2 linked regions of the Alligator mississippiensis genome follow. The protein of the gene in region 1 interacts with the protein of each later gene in a biochemical or structural test. Links are inferred from orthologs where the notes say so. Each region holds a gene or a part of one and is shown on either strand. Other genes may lie near its edges.

Evidence for each region. The genes of interacting proteins can lie anywhere in the genome.
Region 2: the proteins of MYH9 (region 1) and S100P interact in a biophysical measurement, tested with the Homo sapiens proteins (2 studies listed by IntAct). The link is inferred for Alligator mississippiensis from reciprocal best matches to the Homo sapiens genes MYH9 and S100P.

What each region holds. Positions count from the first base shown.
Region 1 is NC_081827.1:100,990,250-101,000,476, forward strand, and holds the start of MYH9 (myosin-9), read left to right. Parts: upstream 1-6,387; 5' UTR 6,388-6,498; intron 6,499-10,227. UniProt on the Homo sapiens protein: Cellular myosin that appears to play a role in cytokinesis, cell shape, and specialized functions such as secretion and capping. Required for cortical actin clearance prior to oocyte exocytosis. Promotes cell motility in conjunction with S100A4.
Region 2 is NC_081825.1:26,258,718-26,269,291, reverse strand, and holds the start of S100P (protein S100-P), read left to right. Parts: upstream 1-6,758; 5' UTR 6,759-6,862; coding exon 6,863-7,000; intron 7,001-10,574.

The DNA of each region.
Region 1 (10,227 bases):
TGTTAAGATTAAAAAATAAAAAAGAAGCGCAATAGATTTTGCTTGGAGAGTGCAGGTTGCTCTTTCCAGAAAAGAGCAGTTCTCTTGTCTATAGGCCAAAGGACATGTTCTAGGGATGTTTTGGGTGCACAAAACAAAGACAGATACCTTAGGGCCCAGATCTAGTCTTTCAGTCACAGTCACTATCATTGCTAGCATGTTTCCTTAAACAGCATGGGATGGCAAGTTTGCAGTTAGCCATGCCAGGTAGAAATTGAAAACCAGGTAGAAATTGATGAGCCGGAAGAAAAACGGGGCAAGAGGAGCTGGGAAAGTGTTGTGGGGTTGAGGGAGGGGGTCACAAACTGCTGTAAAACAAAGCATTGATTCCCATTGCTTTTGCAGTTAGAGATTACAATGATGGATATATTCAAAACCTATATGGCAGATGAGATTGTGACAGTGCCCTTAGACATTCTTGCTAGCATTTTGGACCAGTGATTTCCACAACTGTACGTTATGCAGCCATAATCTCATCACAGAGTTGAGGGTATCATAAATGCCAAGAACAGAGTTCACGTTGCCAGACAGACCAGTCCTCTGCTTGAAGTAAAAATGTAGCCTTCCTCAAGATGCTTTATTTTTTTTCCTTAAGAAAACAATTCCATGTTTTGTCAGGGTACTTGGTCCTCCAAAGTAGCAGTTTTTACAATGTAAGTACTTGTATCATTCTGCTAAGGAACATTATGGTGCTCCTGGCACTTCAGACAAGCTGGGTAAGAACAGAGCTTTTAGTCCGAGGGATCCCTTCAATTCCATCCCTTGGACTAAAAGAAGAGATGTTAGATGCCTTTTTTTTTCCTCCTGCAGATCATCACCAAGTTGTTGAGATAGGTAGCACCCAGTGCCCTTATGTCCTTTGTTAAAGCAGAAGCTGAAAGCACAGTGATGGTATAGGAGTTGAGAACAGAGCAGGTGGACAGCAGCATGTTTGATAGTGGTTTTGGTTTTTTCTATGTATATACTGTGTATATCATAGACTGGCTTGGGGTAGGTGTCTTTTTACAGTAAATATTCCTGATTCAAGCAATAACATACTAGGTATATTCCCATCAGCCCCAGGAGAGTGACACCAAGGCAAGCTATAACTTTCAAATAACATAGACTATTTCTGACCTCCCTCTCCAGATTCAAGTGACAAGAAGTCAAGCCTGCGGCACCTACAGCTCTAAACTCTCAACTATGAAAATAGCACTGACCTATTTTTAATTTCCCTGGCTTTTAATGTTGTAGTTCTCCTTGCCCAATTATGACAATGTTTGGATTGTAATCACTTTTTGAAATGTTGTGTCTTGGGCCAATCGGCCAGATCGGTCCCAAATTCTATCGACTGTGCACAGCTCAATCATTCAAGTCTGTGTGGTGCTACTACCAGCAAGTATCCTACCTCCAGAACTCCTCAGTCTGGGGCTTCAGATACTCCCAAATCCATGGCAGGCATCCTATGTGCTAAGCCCAGAGGCCTTGGAGTTCTGATGACCCCTATTCTTGCTTGCCCCTAGCCAAAAGGCTGAAGGAGAAAGCTAGAGGGAAAGTCTGAGAGCAATCACGGGTTGTAATCTTGTTTCTGCAGAGGGGTAGAAAGGTATGTGTACACAAGGGAAAGGGGAGTTATTTGCTTCTAACAGTGGTGGCTACTTCACAATTAGTCTTGGTACCAAACAGCTATTATTTGGAGGGAGAGAGTAAATGCAGACATACATCATGCATATTGTTTCATTTTCCCATGTGTCTCCTCATAATGCTGTCATCTTTTGGCATGATTTATGAACTTAAACTCTACCCCATCTTAACAGTTACCAGCACTTATATATTTATAAATTCTCTTTATGAATTAGAGCTAGGAGAGAGCTGCATTCTTAGAAGTTCAGTGCAACTCTTCCATGTTTCCAGCTCCAGTCCTTTGTTCAGCCCATTTCAGAAACAGAGTTAAGGTTTCTTACCACTACTGTGTTGTGACAGTCAGCAGATCTTTTGCACATGTGGTTTCTGAACAGTCACTGTGTGGTTAGTTTGGCAATATACCTTCCCCTGTGAGGTAAACATCTTGCAACCTTCCTCTTTTCATTCTATAATTTCTTTGCTAGAAATACAAATGTATTTTGCAAAATGTACAACAAAAATCCCATTTGCAAAGTACTAGGAAAGAAGTTTTATGATTTCAAATAATTGTAGTTGTTGGAGACAGGCTTGGAAATTAAATCCTCCTGCTTCTTCCCAGGGTTCTTAAAACATGGGCAACAGAAATTGAGTTAATTCAGCATATGGAGGCTTGGGGAGGAAGATATGTTTAACTTATCTGAGCCAGCAAATTACATGCCTGGCCCTGCACATTAAATCAATCAAGATATCTTGCCTACTACAATATATGTACAGAGCATGCTTGATTCATTATATATACTAGTGTTTTTTCAGCTAGGATGCCACAGCAACTTGGGGTGCCTAAAGATCTTTTCAAGGATATTGCAGGGTGCCATGCAATGTTAGCGATATTTGGTTTATAAATATGATTCACACAATAAATCCAGGGATTTCACATAGAAATTCATAGTTGTGGTTTTTCTGAGTTCTTTGCAACAGAAAACTGCTGTATTATTTTTCTGTAGTCAAAAAAAAAGAAGTGAAAACTAAGAGCTGGCATCTTCCAAGGGGTGCCTCAAGTCTAAAAAGATTGAAAATCTCTGATATATGAGTACTGACTGATCCAGAGCACAGTCATAGACTTCCACAGATCCAGTGGAACTGCTTGGTAACTGCATAGAACACTTTTCCAGAACACTGCATCTCTAGAGCCAGACCTGTCAGCAAGTAAATGTAAATCAAAATTAATCTTGCAAAGTGTAACTTTTTTTTCTCTGAGTTGGCACTTCATTTTGGATGAAGGTGGAAGAGTATTTCTATTTTCTCTACAAAGCAATACTCCAATAGAATAAGAAGTAAGCCTATAATGTCTCCTGACAGTTCATAGTATGGAAGATTAGATTATGTTCACTATATTAGGCAGGAAATCTTGTATATATGATATGACTGCATTTCAAAATGTACAGCATGCACTTTGCGAGACCTGGATATGGACATGGGTGGGAGGAGATTGCTTTTTGGCAATCATCCCGGTGCAGGTGTCTTAGAAGCCAAGTAATTGGACAGGAAATGTTATAAAATTCTGGATGCTCATCTGAAGGGAAGTTTTCCTGGAGAATTCCACAATCATGGATGGTGACTATCTGGAGAAAAGGGTGCTTTTGGGTGCCAGCTAATGGAAGAGGTAATGACTTGGAATGCAAATAAAGACAAGTGCAAATTAATTGTTTCAAATGGGGCATACATACTGTGTCCAGCATGTACAAGGTGACTGGAATTGGTTGGAGGGATTGAATAGAAATGTTATGATCTTTTGAAACAGGGCCTCAGGGAAACAATTTGATCATACCCACTTTCTTAGGTATGCCTCCTCCATCCTGGGAATTATTTTCTGGTCCAAACCAAGAAAAGCCTCTGTACAGTAGTACAACAATCAGAAATCTTACCGGCTTTCATCATAGGGTGCTATCAATCAGCCAAGCAAAGAAAACAACCATTTCAAATTTAAATAGCTTCTTTTAGCTCACACATAGAAACATTTAGTTTTAGAGACCAGTTAAGAAGAGAGGAGACATTTTTCCAGGAGGGAAGAGAGCACAATTACAGCAATGATGGTTTCTAGTTGAGTTCTGATACTTCCCCACTGAAGTCAATGAAGAGATTTTGTTTCATGTAATGGAAAGAGAATCAAGTTCTCAGATTCCTAAATAAACAATTACCTAAGAAAAATAATGACATAACCTGATTCCTAGGAAGTGCAGTTCAGCACATGAAAATATAAGATTGGTAGAAGACTTTGAGGGATGCTGTTAGTAGCATTATCCAGTCCCTAAAGCACTACCTTTTGTCATCCTTTAATTTCTTACTGTTTGATAATAGTAACAACACACCTCTGCTGACTACATGGCTACCATTGTGAATAACTTTGTCTGCCTTCTCCAGTTCTCTAAAATCTGCTACTTTCCAACTCTGCAAAAACTTTGTTTTAATCTTGATTAACTACTTCTCTCTCTCTAATCTCTATTTGCTCAGTCAAGATGGAGGCAGTCTATTTGAGAAGAAGCTGTCCTGCATCTGTAACCTTTCTCCTTCTTGAAACATCACTGCCATTGGTTATGCAGATGTGCCTGGTTCTTTCTTGTCATGATTCCACTCCAACCTCCTTGGCAATTCTTTATCTCTGGAAGTAACCATTTTTCCACATCAAGATATGTCCTGTATGGAGCACTTCCCCTCTTCTCTCCCTTCCTCCCCCCCAAAATTTTATTTCTCAGCACTCTTAGAATTACTATTTACATTCTTTTCATTCATCTCTATCTTTTACAATACCAGTAATATACCCCTGATACTAAGCGGTGCATATCTGTCACTGCCTTTCAGGACTTCTCTCGCACCACCCTTCATGTCTTGACCGTGTAAACTTGCAGCTTGGTTTACAAATTCCTCCAAAGCAATCTTTCTGGGATGGAAGTTGGGCAAGAGATGCTTGCTCAAATGTATCTTCTTCATCTCTCTTAATTCCTTTTTCAGTTGAAGACTTTCTTCTTTGTCTTTTCTGTTGGTACCTTTGACATTGCCTCCAGCTCTGGACTCTTTTCGTTGTCTGTTCCTACAAATCTGCCGACTTAACATTTGAGTTACTTACTAAGTGAAAGGGACCTCTTTATTTTTGCATCTGTTATGTCACGTCACACGTGCCAGACACTTACACATTATACTAACCCGAAAAATTAAATCTTAAGTACCTAGGCTTCTGTAGTACCCTCTTCAGGAATGCTTCACCATCCTTTCTTGGTTCTCATCTTAGTTACCATATCACGTTTCCTCTCCTCTCTCCCATATCCCAGCCCTCCAAGCACAGGCAAGTCAAGATGGTTGTTGCTTGTGTTTTGTGCATGGACGCAGGAGATGCTGACTGCTTCGTTTCACTTTCATCCATCTACATGCCTGGTGTCTTGTGTTTGCTGCCTTTGCCGTTTTCAAACATTGTTGCTTCGGAAAAGAAAGTTGCAAAGCCAAGAAAACATGCCCTTTCCTGCTTGTTCATTGTGCAGAAAGATGGCTCTTGTGAGACATATCAGGTGCTGCTTTCCCTCCCTTTTTTTGGATGCATGATTTGGCAAGCTCCACACAGGACTGGGAATGGACCCAGTGCTGCAAAATGCACGGGAGGCTGCAAATGTGGACAAATTGGAGAGAGGCCAATGGAGGGCAACAAAAATGGTGAGTGGCTTGGGGGACATGAGTTATGAGGAAAGACTGAGGGAACTGGATTTATTTAAGTCTAGAGAAGAGAAGACAGAGAGGACTTAATAACAGCCTTCAACTACCTGAAGCGGGGTTCAATGTTTTCAGTGGTGGCAGGTGACAGACCAAGGAGCAATGGTCTCAAGTTGCAGCAAAGGAAATTTAGGTTAGATATTGGGAAGAATTTTATCATTAGGAAGGAAGTAAAACCCCCATTAACCAGAGAGGTTGTAGATTCTCTCCATCCTTGGAGGTTTTCAAGACCCAGCTAGACAAAGCCTTGGCTGGGATGATCTAGTTGGGGCTGGTCCTGCTTGGAGCAGGGGGTTGGACTAGATGCCCCCAGAGGTCCCTGCTAACCCTCATTTTCTATGACTATGAAACCTCCCAGCTGAGATGGACAGAGCTGGTGAATTAGATGCTGCCTAACCAAGGCTTGTGGACAGAGGTGATATCTTTTATTAGACCAACAAGATTTTTGCAAAAAAAATTCTTTAATTGCAAGCTTTCGGGCACAAACACCCTTCATCAGGCATGGGAGGAAAGAGTGTAAAAGTTCTCCTGGGTAGAAATGAAAGTTCGTATTTCATAGGACTCGGGGTACTTGCAAGGCGCTGGGCGTGGGGCTGCCCAAGGCGAAGCGCCAGGGCAGGAGCCTGCACCCCGTCCTGGCCCCTGGGGCTGGGGGAGGAGCCCCCGCGCAGCGCAGGGAACTGTGGCAGACTAGGGCCCGCGCGGGGCATTGTGGGGCAGGGCGCACTTGCTGCCTCTTCCCCCCCGCCCGGAACTGCCCCTGCTAGGTTCTCCGCTCCCCATTGGCTGCTCTGCCTGTTAATCTGCGAGGGGAAAGGGGCGGGGCCAGGCCAAACCGGGGTTGGGCGGGTTACAAAAAGCGAGTGCCTCGCCCTGCCTGGCCTGATTGGCTGCGGAAGGGGACAGCGGGCGCTCTCATTGGCTGTCGCGGGAGCAATGGGCGGGGCGTGTTCCTCGGGCCGCGGCGGCTCCACCCGGCTTGAAACCTCGCAGTGCCGGTGTGTGCGAGGCAGGCAGGCGGACGCCGAGAACGAGTCCCTTCCTGGCCAGAAGCAGCCGCCGCCGCCGCGGCTTTCCCCTGCCGATCGCCGGACTCAGGTGACCCCCGGGCGGCGCGGCGCGGCGCGGGCGGGCCCCGGAAACACGCGAATCCTTTTATTGATTTTTATGGTTGGCGCCAGCAGTGCCGGGCTGCGGTTGAGGCGGGCGGGAGCCCATTGATTTCCCCCAGGGCCATGCTGGTGCTGCCTGGTGCCCTCTGCCCTCCTCTGTGTGCAGGGCCCAGAGCAGGCTTCCTTGGGGGTGCATCCCTAGGCGCTGTGATCCCTCCTTGTGATCTCCTTTTTTTTTCCACTTGAAGTGCATCCAGGGGCTGCTCCTCCTTGTGTCCTCCATAGCCAAGCAGGCTGCAGCTGGACTGGGCTCCCAGGACCAGGGGAGGAGGGAGAGGGCAGCTGCCCATGTGATGGAGCCCCCTTGCTTTGAAGGCGTCCAGCTATTGGTGCAAAGGAGCTGCTGGTCCCTTCCCCCTGCCCCATCCTTGCCTGTTGCCCCTCTTCTTGGAAGTAATTGGGGGGGGGGTTAAGGGAGAGAGGGGGTGAAAAAAAGGCCCGTTTGGCAGCTGTCAGGGTTCCAGCCTGAGTCACAGGCCAACAATTCTGCAGCAGACATTGCTATGGGCTTGGCTTCCGCCCTCAGATCTTGACTTCCTCATTCGGTTTGTTCTGTACAGTCGAGCCAGGAAAGAGGTAGAGCGAGCCGGGAGGAGGGAAGGGAGTGACGGGGCAAGATGAAGCTTGCAGTACAAAATCTGGCAGATCCCTGGGCTTTCATCCACCTCTGCTGCTCCAGCAGATGCAAGAGGAGTCTAGCTTCTCACAGCCTTGTTACCAGCCTGTCCTCCGGGAGGAGAAAAAAGTTGGGGAACTTCCCAGCCCCAGTGGGTGGTGGATTTGTACCCAGCATGTCGTTAATGGGGGGTTCTCCTCATCTGCCTGGACACGTCTTGAATGAGAGTGTAAGAGGGATGTTGTAGCCGTGATGGTCCAGTATTTAGGCAAGAGGTGAAGGTTTCATTGGGTGATTTTTATTTTATTTTATTTTATTTTATTTTTTAATTGGACCAACTTATGTAGCTGAGATAGAGATATTCAAGCTTTTGAATGCAAGACATTTTTCATCAGGTCATTTGTTAGATGGGAGTTAGATGAGTCACCTGTTAGCCAAGAGTTAGATAAGCTTTTGAATGCAAGACACTTTTCCTTGGGTCACCCGAGGAAGAAAGTCTTGCGTTTGAAAGCTTGTCTATAACTGTATCCCAGCGACATTAGTTAGTCCAGTAAAAGATACCACGCTTAAAGCAGTGCCACATTCTGTATAACGCACTGCAGTTTTGATATGTTGGTCCAGAGGCAGCTGTCCCGGTGGCTGCTGAGCTCTGCTTTTCTTGGTATGTCTTCCCTTGCCGAATGAACTTTGTGCTTTATCTGCACGGCTTTCCTTCTCCTCGAGCTTTTCTTCCCCTTGTCCTAACTTCCTGAGCTGTGCCTCATCAGAGGTAGTGGGGGGCAGAGCCTAGGCTCTTTCCAGAGCAGCCCTGTACCCGAACAGCTTGTTGAAGTCATTGCATGCAGTAACGCATGATTTGTGCTGGAAAGCTGAACCTCTTATCACTGAAAAGGGCCAAGCCCACAGGTCATGATGCCCCTGCCCTTCTGTGGCAAAACATACAGGCTCATTTGCTTAAAGGTGTGGGGCTTAGTGAGCTGTAATTGTTAACTTGAAACATGCCTCGTGAGCACTATTTGTCTCTTTAAATACATTTTCTCCTAAGTATAGGTAGTGACAAAGGGAACAGCAAGGTAAACAGTTGCTGGCTCTATAAAGATGCTTTCTGACTTAGTCACAAGCTACCTGGTGACTAAGTTCACTTATCTGGATCGTGCTAGTGAAAGCTGTAACCCTTGGTGCAGACCTGTATTGACTTACCCTCCCTGTCTGGAGCAGTAGCACTTGAATCTAGTATATGGATAACATGAGATAAATGCTTCTGCCAAGTGGGGTGCTTAAAGGCACCTTTGGGTGGAGGAGAAGGAGCTAATGAGTACAGGTGAATGGGGCTCTTTTAGTATTTAAGAGCTTTGAATTTCAGGATAACTGAGAGCCCTAGTAGGCATAGGGTACTGTCTGTTGTTCTGCCACATGAAACTGTCTATAAATTGTTTTGGAGGTGGCAGTACAATTTGCTTGTCATTCTATCAAGTTCCTCATCTCCTGAAGCTGTCTGTAATTGTATGTCTGTCCCTGATGCCTGCTTGAAGTCATCCATCAAGTAATGCTGTGCATAGTCGAAGGTTGGCACTACACACAGAAAACTTTCTTCTGTCGTAGGATGGACTTGGTTAAAACTTTCAGTACTTCTGTGAAGGCAGGTGTAGATTAGCAAATCTCTACTGAGTAGAGATGCCAAATTAACATCTATGAAATGTCTGTACCCTTCAGACTGGGCATGGCCAGTACAAAGTTCTGTTTTTTGTGTAGCATATTATCTTCCTTGATATCTTGCGAGGAGATGATGATATTGAAGTTTTCTAGAGAAGAGGAGTCATGCTTAAATTTGCCTGGCCACACAACACACACCTATTCATTATAAATAGGATGACTGATGATTTTTTTCTCTTGCTTCAGAGGATCTGACTGCTGCTTATTACAGCAGTGTTGTATAGCTTGTCAGTAGGAGTAATCTTTTGCTCACTTCCTGTCTCGAGTCAATCCTCTAAAAAAGCCTAGATCCTTTCCAGTTTAACACTTTTATTCCTTAGGACAAGAGGGAGGAACAGTCAGAAATTGCACTGATTGCCTATCCTCAAATGAGTGGAAGAGAATGCAGTGTTGTACCTAAACTTAAATTATAAAGCAGCATTATTTAACTAATGAAAAGGCCAAGAAATTATTTGTCCACAGTGTTGTTTTGGGGAGGGCTCCATATTTCAGACAGTAGAGTCATCTATGTGCCATCTTAAGAGTTAGTTTGGCTGGTGTTATTTATTTAAAAAAAAAAAAAAAAAAAGCCAGTGGCTGACTGTTTAGTGCTCAAACTCTGAGACAGGTGGCAGCTCTAGTATTTGTCTGGGGTTGAAAGTGTGTCTAATGTGCTCAGCGTAGTCGGAAGCTGCAGGTGTTCAAATCTGTTCAGAGCAGTCAGGCGTAGTGGATAATGCAAATACTTGGCATCTGACTGCTGGGGCCTACTATGAACGCTGCAACGAGCAGCCTAAATGCATGAAGCACTCACCTTATTGGTTTGGCTGGAAACACTTCACGCTAGCAGCTCACGGGCTAGTTCTCTTCTGAGCTGTACCCACAAAGCACATCTACGTTTTGTGGTTGGAAAAAAATTGAGATTTGAAGCTGCCATAGGGTCTACAGTAGACTGAAATGTAAGCTAGAGGAGGTGTCTGCTTCATGACTGGAAGTACCAAAAATAGCTAGAAGAGAAAGAAGTGAGGGTACTTTCTCTTGATCCTTCTGCATCTAATCTGTGCGCTTCTGACTCCAACAAATTATGTTGGACTTTTGGGTACTGGGAGCCTAGTTAATCCCTTCCCCCTCTTCATCTTGTTCAGGGTTATGTCACCGAGGAATCTCTGCCCTTAACAGGGTGAGATCAGACAATGGACCCGTTGGAGGTACAGGCACTCTTATGGTTAATCTAGGATTTATTAGAATGAAGAAGTAACATTTATGCAAGGCAGCTTCAGGTTATCAGAAAACAGACAAGCTCACGAACAGTTTAAGTTAATTTCAAGGGCTTCAACCTCCTCAAAA
Region 2 (10,574 bases), on another chromosome or scaffold:
TTCTTTTTCTGCTTGTAACTTAGTAGCTACATTTTTCTCACATACAATAAAGCATTGTAGTGGTTCTACTATTTAGCTGTGAGTGGTAAGTGACTTTACCACATGTTGTGGAAATGTATATGTGACCTTTTAAAGATGGTAAGCAGACATGAAAGGACACTTCAGATGGAAATACAAAGAAAAACCTTAGCCCTGAATAAGCGAAGTGCTCTTTCTTTATCTTCCATAACAGTTTAGCATGCTAGAAAATGGGTCTTTGTAGTCCCTCTTTGCTGTATAATATATCGTGTCTATTAAAGTTAACAGAAGTCACACATGTATGCAAGTCATCCATGTATGTATGCACTGAGAGGAAAATAAGAGCTTTTTAAACTTGCTGCAAAAGTACTACTCAAATGATGGAAAACAAAAATTCAGACTGTGTTCATTTCCTTCGCTGCCCTGCGCATGGTGACGACATTACTGGAGAAGTGAAAAGTTCATTCTCTCCTTAACTTTGTTCAGCTTTAGAAAAAAATCTCTAGAAATGTTTTGTTCTCATACAAGTTTCTTTTGGGCGGGGAGGCGGGGAGATTGTGAAACTGCCTTCTAATTGTTCCATAAATGGCTCTATGGAGAGGTGGTAAACCGCCTATCATAAAAGGTGCTGTAACAAAGAGCATGAAGTAAAATATACTCCTTTGCACAGAACTAAAATGAGGCGGCATGAGTGTGAGTGTACACATCCATAATTCATATCAGCATGAAAAACCAATGGCGCTATCTTGATGACGTTTCAGCTTCTGGCAATTCAAAGTGCTGTGGTTAATTCCAAATAAAACACAAAAACCACCTCCATTATTACTTCTAAAAGGATTGGTGTCACTTTTCTTTGTGCTAGTAAAGAGTAAGCTTTGTGATTCAACTACCAATTGCCCATCAAGTCGGCAAGATATATGTATGTGTGTGTGTGTGTGTGTGTGTGTGTGTATCTATATGTATATAAGTGTGTGTGTGTATGTGTATATCTCTGTGTGTGTGTGTGTGTGTGTAAATAATGTATGTATGTATGTATGTACGTATGTATGTATGGGGTGGGGGGAGATGAGCGGTGCAGGGTCAGTCTCAAGATCCTGCATGGGATTGGGCCATGGGGCTGATCCCATGCTGCCCCAATCTGGCCATGTGCTGCCCGCCTCCCCATTCTGGCCAGCAGGGCTCCCCATGGGTCCAGAAATTTGGCAGCAGGAGAGTTAACACTCCTACCACTTTCCAGTGCCAAATTTCCTGATCCTTAGGAAGCCCTGCTGCCCAAAAGATACAGCTTCATGGGCTGGATCTGGCCTAAGGGTTGAGTACCCTTCTTAGGTTCTTCTCCTGCCTTTATCATCATTGTGGTTAAATATTTTCAGTAATGCATCAAGTGACATGGCTAATTATTGTTACATGCTGGCTGTTTTTCCTGTTCTCCCCAGAAGGAAAAGTGTGTTTAGTGGGGTAGTTTTGTTATGCTTTTTGTTTTAACATGCATGCTATCTCTGTACATAAGAGAAGGCAAGCTCAGAGAAGCAGAAGTTGGGGAAGTTTTGTGCATGATGGTCATTTCCAAGAAATATGACCCAGGCCCTGGTTCATAGATTCATAGATGTTAGGGTCGGAAGGGACCTCAATAGATCATCGCGTCCGACCACCTGCATAGGCAGGAAAGAGTGCTGGGTCTAGATGACCCCAGCTAGATGCCTATCTAACCTCCTCTTGAAGACCCCCAGGGTAGGGGAGAGCACCACCTCCCTTGGGAGCCCGTTCCAGACCCTGGCCACTCGAACTGTGAAGAAGTTCTTCCTAATGTCCAATCTAAATCTGCTCTCTGCTAGCTTGTGGCCATTATTTCTTGTAACCCCTGGGGGCGCCTTGGTGAATAAATCCTCACCAATTCCCTTCTGTGCCCCCATGATGAACTTATAGGCAGCCACAAGGTCGCCTCTCAACCTTCTCTTGCGGAGGCTGAAGAGGTCCAGGTGCCCTAGTCTCTCCTCATAGGGCTTGGCCTGCAAGCCCTTAACCATACGAGTGGCCCTTCTCTGGACCCTCTCCAGGTTATCCACATCCCTTTTGAAGTGCAGCGCCCAAAATTGCATGCAGTATTCCAACTGCGGTCTGACCAGCGTCCAGTAGAGGGGAAGTATTACCTCCTTGGATCTGTTCGTCATGCATCTGCTGATGCACGATAAAGTGCCATTAGCTTTTCTGATGGCTTCATCACACTGCCAACTCATGTTCATCTTGGAGTCCACTAGGACTCCAAGATCCCTTTCCGCTTCCGTGCCACCCAGCAGGTCATTCCCTAGGCTGTAGGTGTGCTGGACATTTTTCCTCCCTAGGTGCAGCACTTTGCATTTCTCTTTGTTGAACTGCATTCTGTTGTTTTCTGCCCATATGTCCAACCTGTACAGATCTGCTTGTAGTTGTTCTCTGCCCTCCAGCGTGTCCACTTCTCCCCACAGTTTTGTGTCATCCACAAACTTGGACAGAGTACACTTCACTCCCTCGTCCAAGTCGCTGATGAAGATATTGAAGAGTATCGGTCCAAGGACCGAGCCCTGCGGGACCCCACTGCCCACACCCTTCCAGGTCAATACCGACCCATCCATTATGACTCTCTGGGTGCGACCCTCTAGCCAATTTGCCACCCACTGGACTGTGTAGTCATCCAAGTCACAGCCTCTTAACTTGTTCACCAGTATGGTGTGGGATACCGTATCAAAGGCCTTCCTGAAGTCTAAGTATACGACATCAACCCCTACTCCTGCATCCAGGTGTTTGGTAACCTGGTCATAAAAAGAGGCTAGATTAGTCAGACATGATCTACCTGCTACGAACCCGTGCTGGTTTCCCCTCAGCATAATTTGTCCTGCCGGGCTCTCGCAAATGTGAGCCTTGATAATTTTTTCAAAGACTTTGCCTAGGATGGAGGGGAGACTGACTGGCCTATAGTTGCCTGGGTCCTCCTTCCTCCCCTTCTTGAAAATGGGGAACACATTGGCCCTTTTCCAGTCCTCCAGGACCTGGCCTGTGTGCCATGAGTGTTCAAATATTCCCGTCAGTGGCTGTGCAATGACGTCAGCCAGTGCCTTCAGTACCCTCAGATGGAGCTCATGGTTCTTATTCTCCAATTATTTTTCATTCTGACCATGCTTGGCTGATTTAATAAACATCTATATGTAGAATGGCAGACTTTATTACAGTTCTCATCTGCTTAGCACAGATAACAGCAGGCCTCTAGTGACTACTGTTGCAAGAATAAACTGCTTCTGTCTACGACTGGCAATTGTCTTCAAGACAAGTATGAATGCCTCAGCCCCTTGGCTGGACTCAATCAAACATACATCCCCACCATGTTCCAACGGTTATATAGAATATGTAAAGTAATAGAAGAGGGGACATGCGTGAAGGAAACTTATGTTCTGGTTTCAAGATGACTTCAAGTGACATTTGTGTTTAGTATGACACTCTCTCTTCTTGCTTTAGGATCTTTTATGTGGGACAGAGAAGAGGCTGTTGCTTGCACACAGCTGGCTGTAGACCTTAGGAAGTGCCGATGACTCTTACGAAACCTGTTATGTTTGGTGGTTTGCAGTGTGTCATGTATGTTTTCTTATGTTTTACTGTACTAATATAGCATGTGTGGTCTCCTGCTCAGCAGTCTTTCCTGCCCAGAGCAGGGGGGCTGGACCTGATGATCTCACAAGGTCCCTTCCAGCCCTAAATTTCTGTGAATCTGTGAAAGCCCATGTTAAGCTATATTCATTTGTCATTTCTTTCCCTATATAAAATATGTTATGCTATCTACGTATATCTTTTCATTTGGACTCAGTATGAGGCATCCATACTTCAAGACAATTGCCAGTCCCAGACACAAGCAGAAGGAAATATTATTGGGTTGGGCACCCCAAGACGTTGTCTGATTGCAATGGGGAATCAACTCTGCAACAGAGAGGCAACTGAGGAAAACAGCCCTTTAGCCACAGTGGCTCCAAGTACCTTAGGTAGACCAGAAATTTTTAGAGAATCCTGACCCACAAGCAGGTTTTTTTGGTTTGTTGTTGAGTTGGGGGGGTTTTGGCAGGCGACGTGGGGAGTGGCTGATTGGAAATAATGTAGGAAGCTTGCTGTGGGCTATGCTTTGTCTTTTGGGTCCCAGGAGTTGGATGTTCAATAACGCCAGCAGGCAGGGCTGGCAGCATCAACAGGAAGGCTGAATTCTGGAGATACTGCCAGGTTGAGGAGAGCTGAGGTGTAGCTAGATGAGAGAGTAAGAAACTTTACTTGTTTTGGTTTTGTGTGGTCGGTTTTGCTGGAATAATTCTTTAATAACATTTTTTCAATTCTTTTCATTTAAAAACAATCTGACAAGTTTTATAAATGATGCTGTATGTTGAGGCCAAAGCTCAGGCACAAAGAGTTGTACCTTGCCCTGAAGACATCAAAACCTAATTGCATCTGATAGAGAGTCTGTAGCCGGAGAACTCACCCAAGAGCGCCTCCAAGAGCCTCCCCCTGGCCTCCATCGGTTTCAGTGCTCGTCTTGAATGCTGTAGCCATCTTGTACCCTCAAAGAAACCTCTGTATGGCTACACTACAGACAGCTGAGTTCACTTTAAATGAACTACCTCAGGTACTGGAAGTAGCCATGGCAGTACACAGCTCCCAGCAAGCTTTGCTAATTTACCCTGCTTCTGCTTTCCTTTGGGCTCCTCAACTATGCAGCAAGGCTGTTTTCAGTACTCACCTGAGCTGCAATATCCCTATACTTTGGGCCTTGTTACATGGTAAATGTAGGCAGCTTCTGGAGTTCTTAACCCCTGGACTGGCTGCACGTTAACATCATTTAAATGTCTTAAGGCACTCATTATTCAGCTTAGAGTTACACCATTCCAGGACAGGATTATTTCCAATCCACCAAGCTGTTTTCCTGTTCCATTACCATATAGCCACTTCCCGTAGCTATTCCACCCAAATTGAAGTCCTTCAGTATCCCAGAATACTCTGAGTGCTGCAGGGCCTGATCCTTTTTTCCCCCAGAGTGCCCAGCAGCTGAAGTGCCTCTCACTGCTGCCCAGACCGGCTCGGAGCAAGCGAGCTCCGGGGTTGCAGCCCTGGAACACTCTGGTCTTGCTGAAACGGACACAGCGTCTCTGCACTGAGAACAGAGCTGTCTGGACTTAAGTCCTGCTAGCCCTGATCTCAGTGTGGAGCCACCACGTCCATTTCAGCAAGACCAGAGAGCATCAGGGAAATTGCTTCTCTGTCTCACTAAAACTGAGATAGTGGTGGGCCCAGTCTCTGCCAGGCTGGGTCCTGCTCCTGCTCACCAAGCCTCTAGTGAGAAGTCACAGCTGTGCAGTGTAGTGGGCAAACTGAGTTATGTAAAGACTTTTAGCCATAATCCAGGCCTTCCCAGAACTAAGCAACAAACTTGAACAGAGTGCCTTTAAGCACTGGGAAAAGTGAGTGCTGGGCACTAGGTGAGCAAAGGACAGCAGTTTCCCCAGAAGGAATACAGTTGACACAGTGCCAGGGGATCGGTGCACCACGTAAGGAATGCATGGCACAGAGCCAGAGCATTGGGCAATTTGGGAATGGAGAAGTTATAGAAGTGATGGACAAACAAAGGAACACACGTGTGTGTGCTGTGTTGCCGCGTTGGGGAGACAGGAACAACCTTGGACTTCTTGTTTGAACAATGAGGAATCCAGAAACTAACATCCCACACACCCAGCAAGGGATCAGGATCTGAGGCCGGTACCACCAAAGGTCGCTGCTATAATGCCTGAAGGAACTGCTTGCCAGGTCATCTTGCATGGAAGAATACTTGTAATAAGCCTAGGGGTTAGTATTAAAAGTTCACTTGGTACCAAATCAGACATGGGGCTTTGCCAATCTTTGGGGGTCTCTGGTAAAAGGAATCCTAGGGGCAACATGCAGGTGAAGGGCAGTCAGAGCAGGTTTTTTGACTTGCTGTGCGATTGCTCTACTAAGCTGATTAACATTTGTTCGGCTTACAGTGCAAGGTCTAACAAGGCCCATGATGCAGTCAGTAGATATTCTTGAGAAAAAGTCACTAGAGCCAAACTCACTGAACAGTTTTTAAGCTGTGGACCAGCAGCCACAAATTAAAGCCAAGCTTGATCCAGAGTTTGGTTTAACACAAACACTAATGCTGCAGGGTTGAACCTCTTCTGGAGCTATTCTAGGGTCAACAATAAGATATTTCATTACATTCAAAGATGAATCTGAGCATTGATCAAGTGCCCAAATGTCCACCCAGTGCTCCATCCAACTGGAGAACAAATTTATCCATCGCACGGGATGTGAGAGTTTATATTAGCCGGTGTAAGCTGCCATGCAGGGCCTTGCACTCAACAGAGCTCTGATCTGGAAAAGATACCAATTCCCAGTCATGGAAATGAGGAGAGTATTAATTTGCTCCTGTTTTTGCCCTGGTGAATCAATGTGCACTCTTTTTAAATTGGGCTGTTAACCATTTACAGAGTGGATTGAAGCTTCTTACTCACACTGTGTATCTTAAAGGAGGGACTGGTTTCTGGCAATGCACAATCACTGTGCTACCTCTACCATATGATAAAGCTTGGACTTTAAATAGAATGTCATTACAAAGGAATTTGATTTCAGCCTACATGCAGATGGTAAAAAAAGGTACTTTAGATATGGATATTTGCTAACTGATAACTGGCTCTCACTACCATATGCAACAAGGAAATATGAGAGTGTTATAAAGGAGCCCTGAACCTGATCAGGTTCTATTTTCTAAAAGAGAATCAGAGACTATTCACACCTAGCAGGAAAATAAAAGTGAGCAAAGATGTCCAAACTGGAAACTGCAATGGGAATGATCATTGCTGTCTTTGACAGGTATGCAGCAACTGAAGGCAATAAGCTAACCCTTACTAAAGCAGAACTGAAGACTCTCCTGGAAAAAGAGCTCCCTAACTTCTTGGAGGTAAGATGATATTTTAGTATAATTTCTGTATGACAAACTGAAAGCTTTTCCTGTGTAAAGAGAAACACTCCCAGTGCTTTGTGTTCTGGGCTATGTCCTGAAATCATTGGTGTTGTAGGAAAACAAGTAGGTACCTTTTAGATCATCATGTGGACAAGGTGGCTTTTAAAAGGAAGACCCATCACAGCACTGAACTACAATATCATTCCCATTTATCAGTACTATCATCTATTTTTCTAGTGATCAGAGCAGTGGCAGTGATATAGAATACTTCAGAAGTCATCTGCTCCTGCTGTTTACTCCGCAGCAGAATTTGTAATCTCAATATGATGCTACTGTTAACTGCTGTGAAGGGATTCTGCTGTTAGCAATCGAGGATGAAGCAAACAAATGGGGAATCTTTCCATAAAGCGATTTATACCAGACTTATAACTGTGGTATCTGAGCATGTACACAAAAAAATTATATAAAGAACAGCAGCAGTAGATGAACTTAGAAAATTCTGTTTAGCAAATGATTTTAATACAGTAATAATTAAAAGAAACTAAATAACTAAAGAATGTTTCATAGAATATGAGCATTGTATTATCAGGAGGTGCTTTTCAATGGTTATACTTTATAGTTGTCTCTGCCTCTGTACAAATCCACAAATTCTGCTCTTACATACCTTGCTGCTGTATTAAAGAGTCTGCATTTCTGTAGATGCAGAATCTTTCCCATAACTGCAAATGTCTGGAGTAGATCCAAGGGGACGCTTTTGGCTCTGTGGTGCATATACAGTGAGCTCTCTGAATTCAGTGGCACATCAGCGTAGCTCTTGCTGGAACTCTACATCTAGCATAAGCTCTGAGTTCATCCACTGATTTGTCAGCTCTGGCTGGAACTCCTGCTGTTATGCAGCTCCAGAGCCCAGGGGGTGTGTGTCACTTTTGTTGCTCCCTTCTTTTCCCCTGTTGCTGAATTCAAATAGGGGCTAGAAGGGGCTGGGAACCAATCAGAAGGGAGGGCAGTCATGGCAGCATCAATCCATTGGACTCCAGAACCATGCAAGAGCAGGGGATTCAGCCAGAGCCCATGCCAATCTGCTGGTGAGCTCAAAGAGCTCGCAGCACGTGCCACACAGCCAAAGGACATGTGGCCACATACCCCTCACCGTGATCCTGGATCCACCCAAGTAGATATCTAGGATTAAATGTTAGTAAGTGGCTTCTGTTGTCCACCCTTGTGACATTGAATGTACAAAACCTGTCCATAAGTAATCATCTAATTAGAGCACCAAGACCTGTGCATTTGATGTATTCTAAACAGGCAGTAGCAGAGCTCTGCAGCTGCCCCATGACAGCAGGCTGCCCCCCACTCCACAGCAGTCACTGCCAGCTCTCACTGCACTGCATTGGGTGCATGGAGCAGGGCACTGCTGGAGCTCAGGGGTTATGGGAGGCTGGCCCAGTCTGGGGCTCTCTGGGGCTGGCTATGCTCTCTGTTCCCCAAGGCTTGGTGGGGCAGCAGGGCAGGGTGCCCACCCAGATGGGCTCAGTGCTAGTGGAGAAAGGAGCCCTTGGTCACTGTTGCTGGACCAGGGGGCTGAAGACTGGGGGAAATAGAATAGCTGGGGGTGTGAGAGCTCACAGACAGAAGCGGGGGGCACCACTGCATCCTGGGATACTGGAGAACTTCAACTTGATCGATGCATCTGTGAGCAGTGGCCACAGCTTAATGGAACAGGAGCTGGGTTGCCAGAATCAGAGATAATCTTGCCCTGAAGTGGCATAACTTTGAACCGCATAACAAATACTTTAAGCCACTTTCAGGTGTTGATAACCTAGGGGTTAAGAGCTCCATGAGTTGCCCAAAGTTACCATCTAACAAGGCCCTAAGAAGTGACTAATCATTACATTCAGGACTGAAGTTAAAATAACTTCCAAAGCAAGAAGAAAAGTCCTTTCCTGTAAGCCAATGAGATTAACTCCACATGTTCACATGCAGAACTGGGTAAAATACAAGGGGCGGGGAAAGCATTTGCAAATACTCATTTGACAGACACATATTATCACTAGAAAATAAGTTATAATTAAAATCCCATTATTTGGGGTTTCTTAATATTTATGAGTACATTTTTGTTTACAAGAATGTTCTCAGAAATAGGGTGCTCTAAATATTCATGCAAATATACATTTTCACCAATATTCACACCTGTGCTGGCTGACCGCCATCTTGAAAGGTCTTTGTGAATCAATCAATTGCAGAGCAGAAAAAAAGCAGCATAGGATATAAGTAACAAAAGTACATTATTAAGAGAGCACACTGAAATTAACACCAACATCAACGTCCATAAGTAATCCAGAAACTGGTTCATAAGCAATTCATGGAATAATTTCAGATTTCCAAATTCATAAAAATGGAAACATTTCTTTGCAAATAATTTGCAAACTTTGAAGGGATCAATATTCATCAGACATTGTTAAATGGGGTCTAGCCATATACCTACATGCTTGATGATTTTGGCATGTCTTGGCTTATACTTTAATCCTTCTAGTTTTTTAAATGGAAGATTGTATAAAATAAAATAATTGCAATTTAACTAATTAAAGCATGATGTCACAAGCACCTCTGATTTCCATTATGCTGGTACATATTTTCAGTTCACAGTAAAACTCCAAGATACTTACATAACTTCATAAAACTATAAAATCAGACTTTTGTTAGGCTACAAAAAAAATTTTCAGTTAATTATATTTTATGCTCTACTGCCATCCTCTGTTTATTTTGAAAACTGCAATAAGAGCATTAGAGTTAGTTAAAACCTAGAATCAAGAAAGGCCTCTATAAGCTTTTTTTTTTTTTTAATTTGCAGCTGAACATTTTATCAGTGTCAATTTTTCTGGATTCTCTTGTGCTTAATTTTAGGCTGCAGATGAAAATTGCAAGTAATTTGTGGTTCATCAATTTGCTTTATGAAAGGTTGGGGGGAAAGGGGCATTGCTAATGAACTGTTTTTCATCCCATAATTCAGTTAGCTTTACAGTTAGCTGTCATGTGCAACCACAGCTTCTGTACACCAACCAACCTATTCACGGCACCAGGTTTAGCTGGAATGCCTGAGAGAGCAATCCCAGCATGTTCACAGGGGGAGGCTGTAGACAGCTCATTCTCAGTAAATGTACCTCACTTTGTTCCTACAGTTAGTCCAAGAGAGCTTGTCTATAGAACTACCAGCCTGTGTATTATATTATGGACCTTTCTGGGAGGGACAGATTGCATTTCCCCAACTGAATTAAATTCCTTTAGCATTTTGCAAATTTGATCATTACACATTTTTTTTAAAGTAAATAGTGTTTATGCATCTTCAGGCATACAGCATGCATTTAGACTAAACAAATACATTTAAAGGAAAGATTTGGCTCAAAAACCTTTGCAATACAGAAAAAAAATTACCTTAGCGGAAGCCAGTGGGAATTTTGCTGCAGACTTCAATATGTTGGAAAATGTGGTTTTCTAATACTATTCTTTCTTCAAAAAGATACACCACTCTCCTGATGAAGTTAGTCTTGCGCTAGCATATACATTGCTCAAG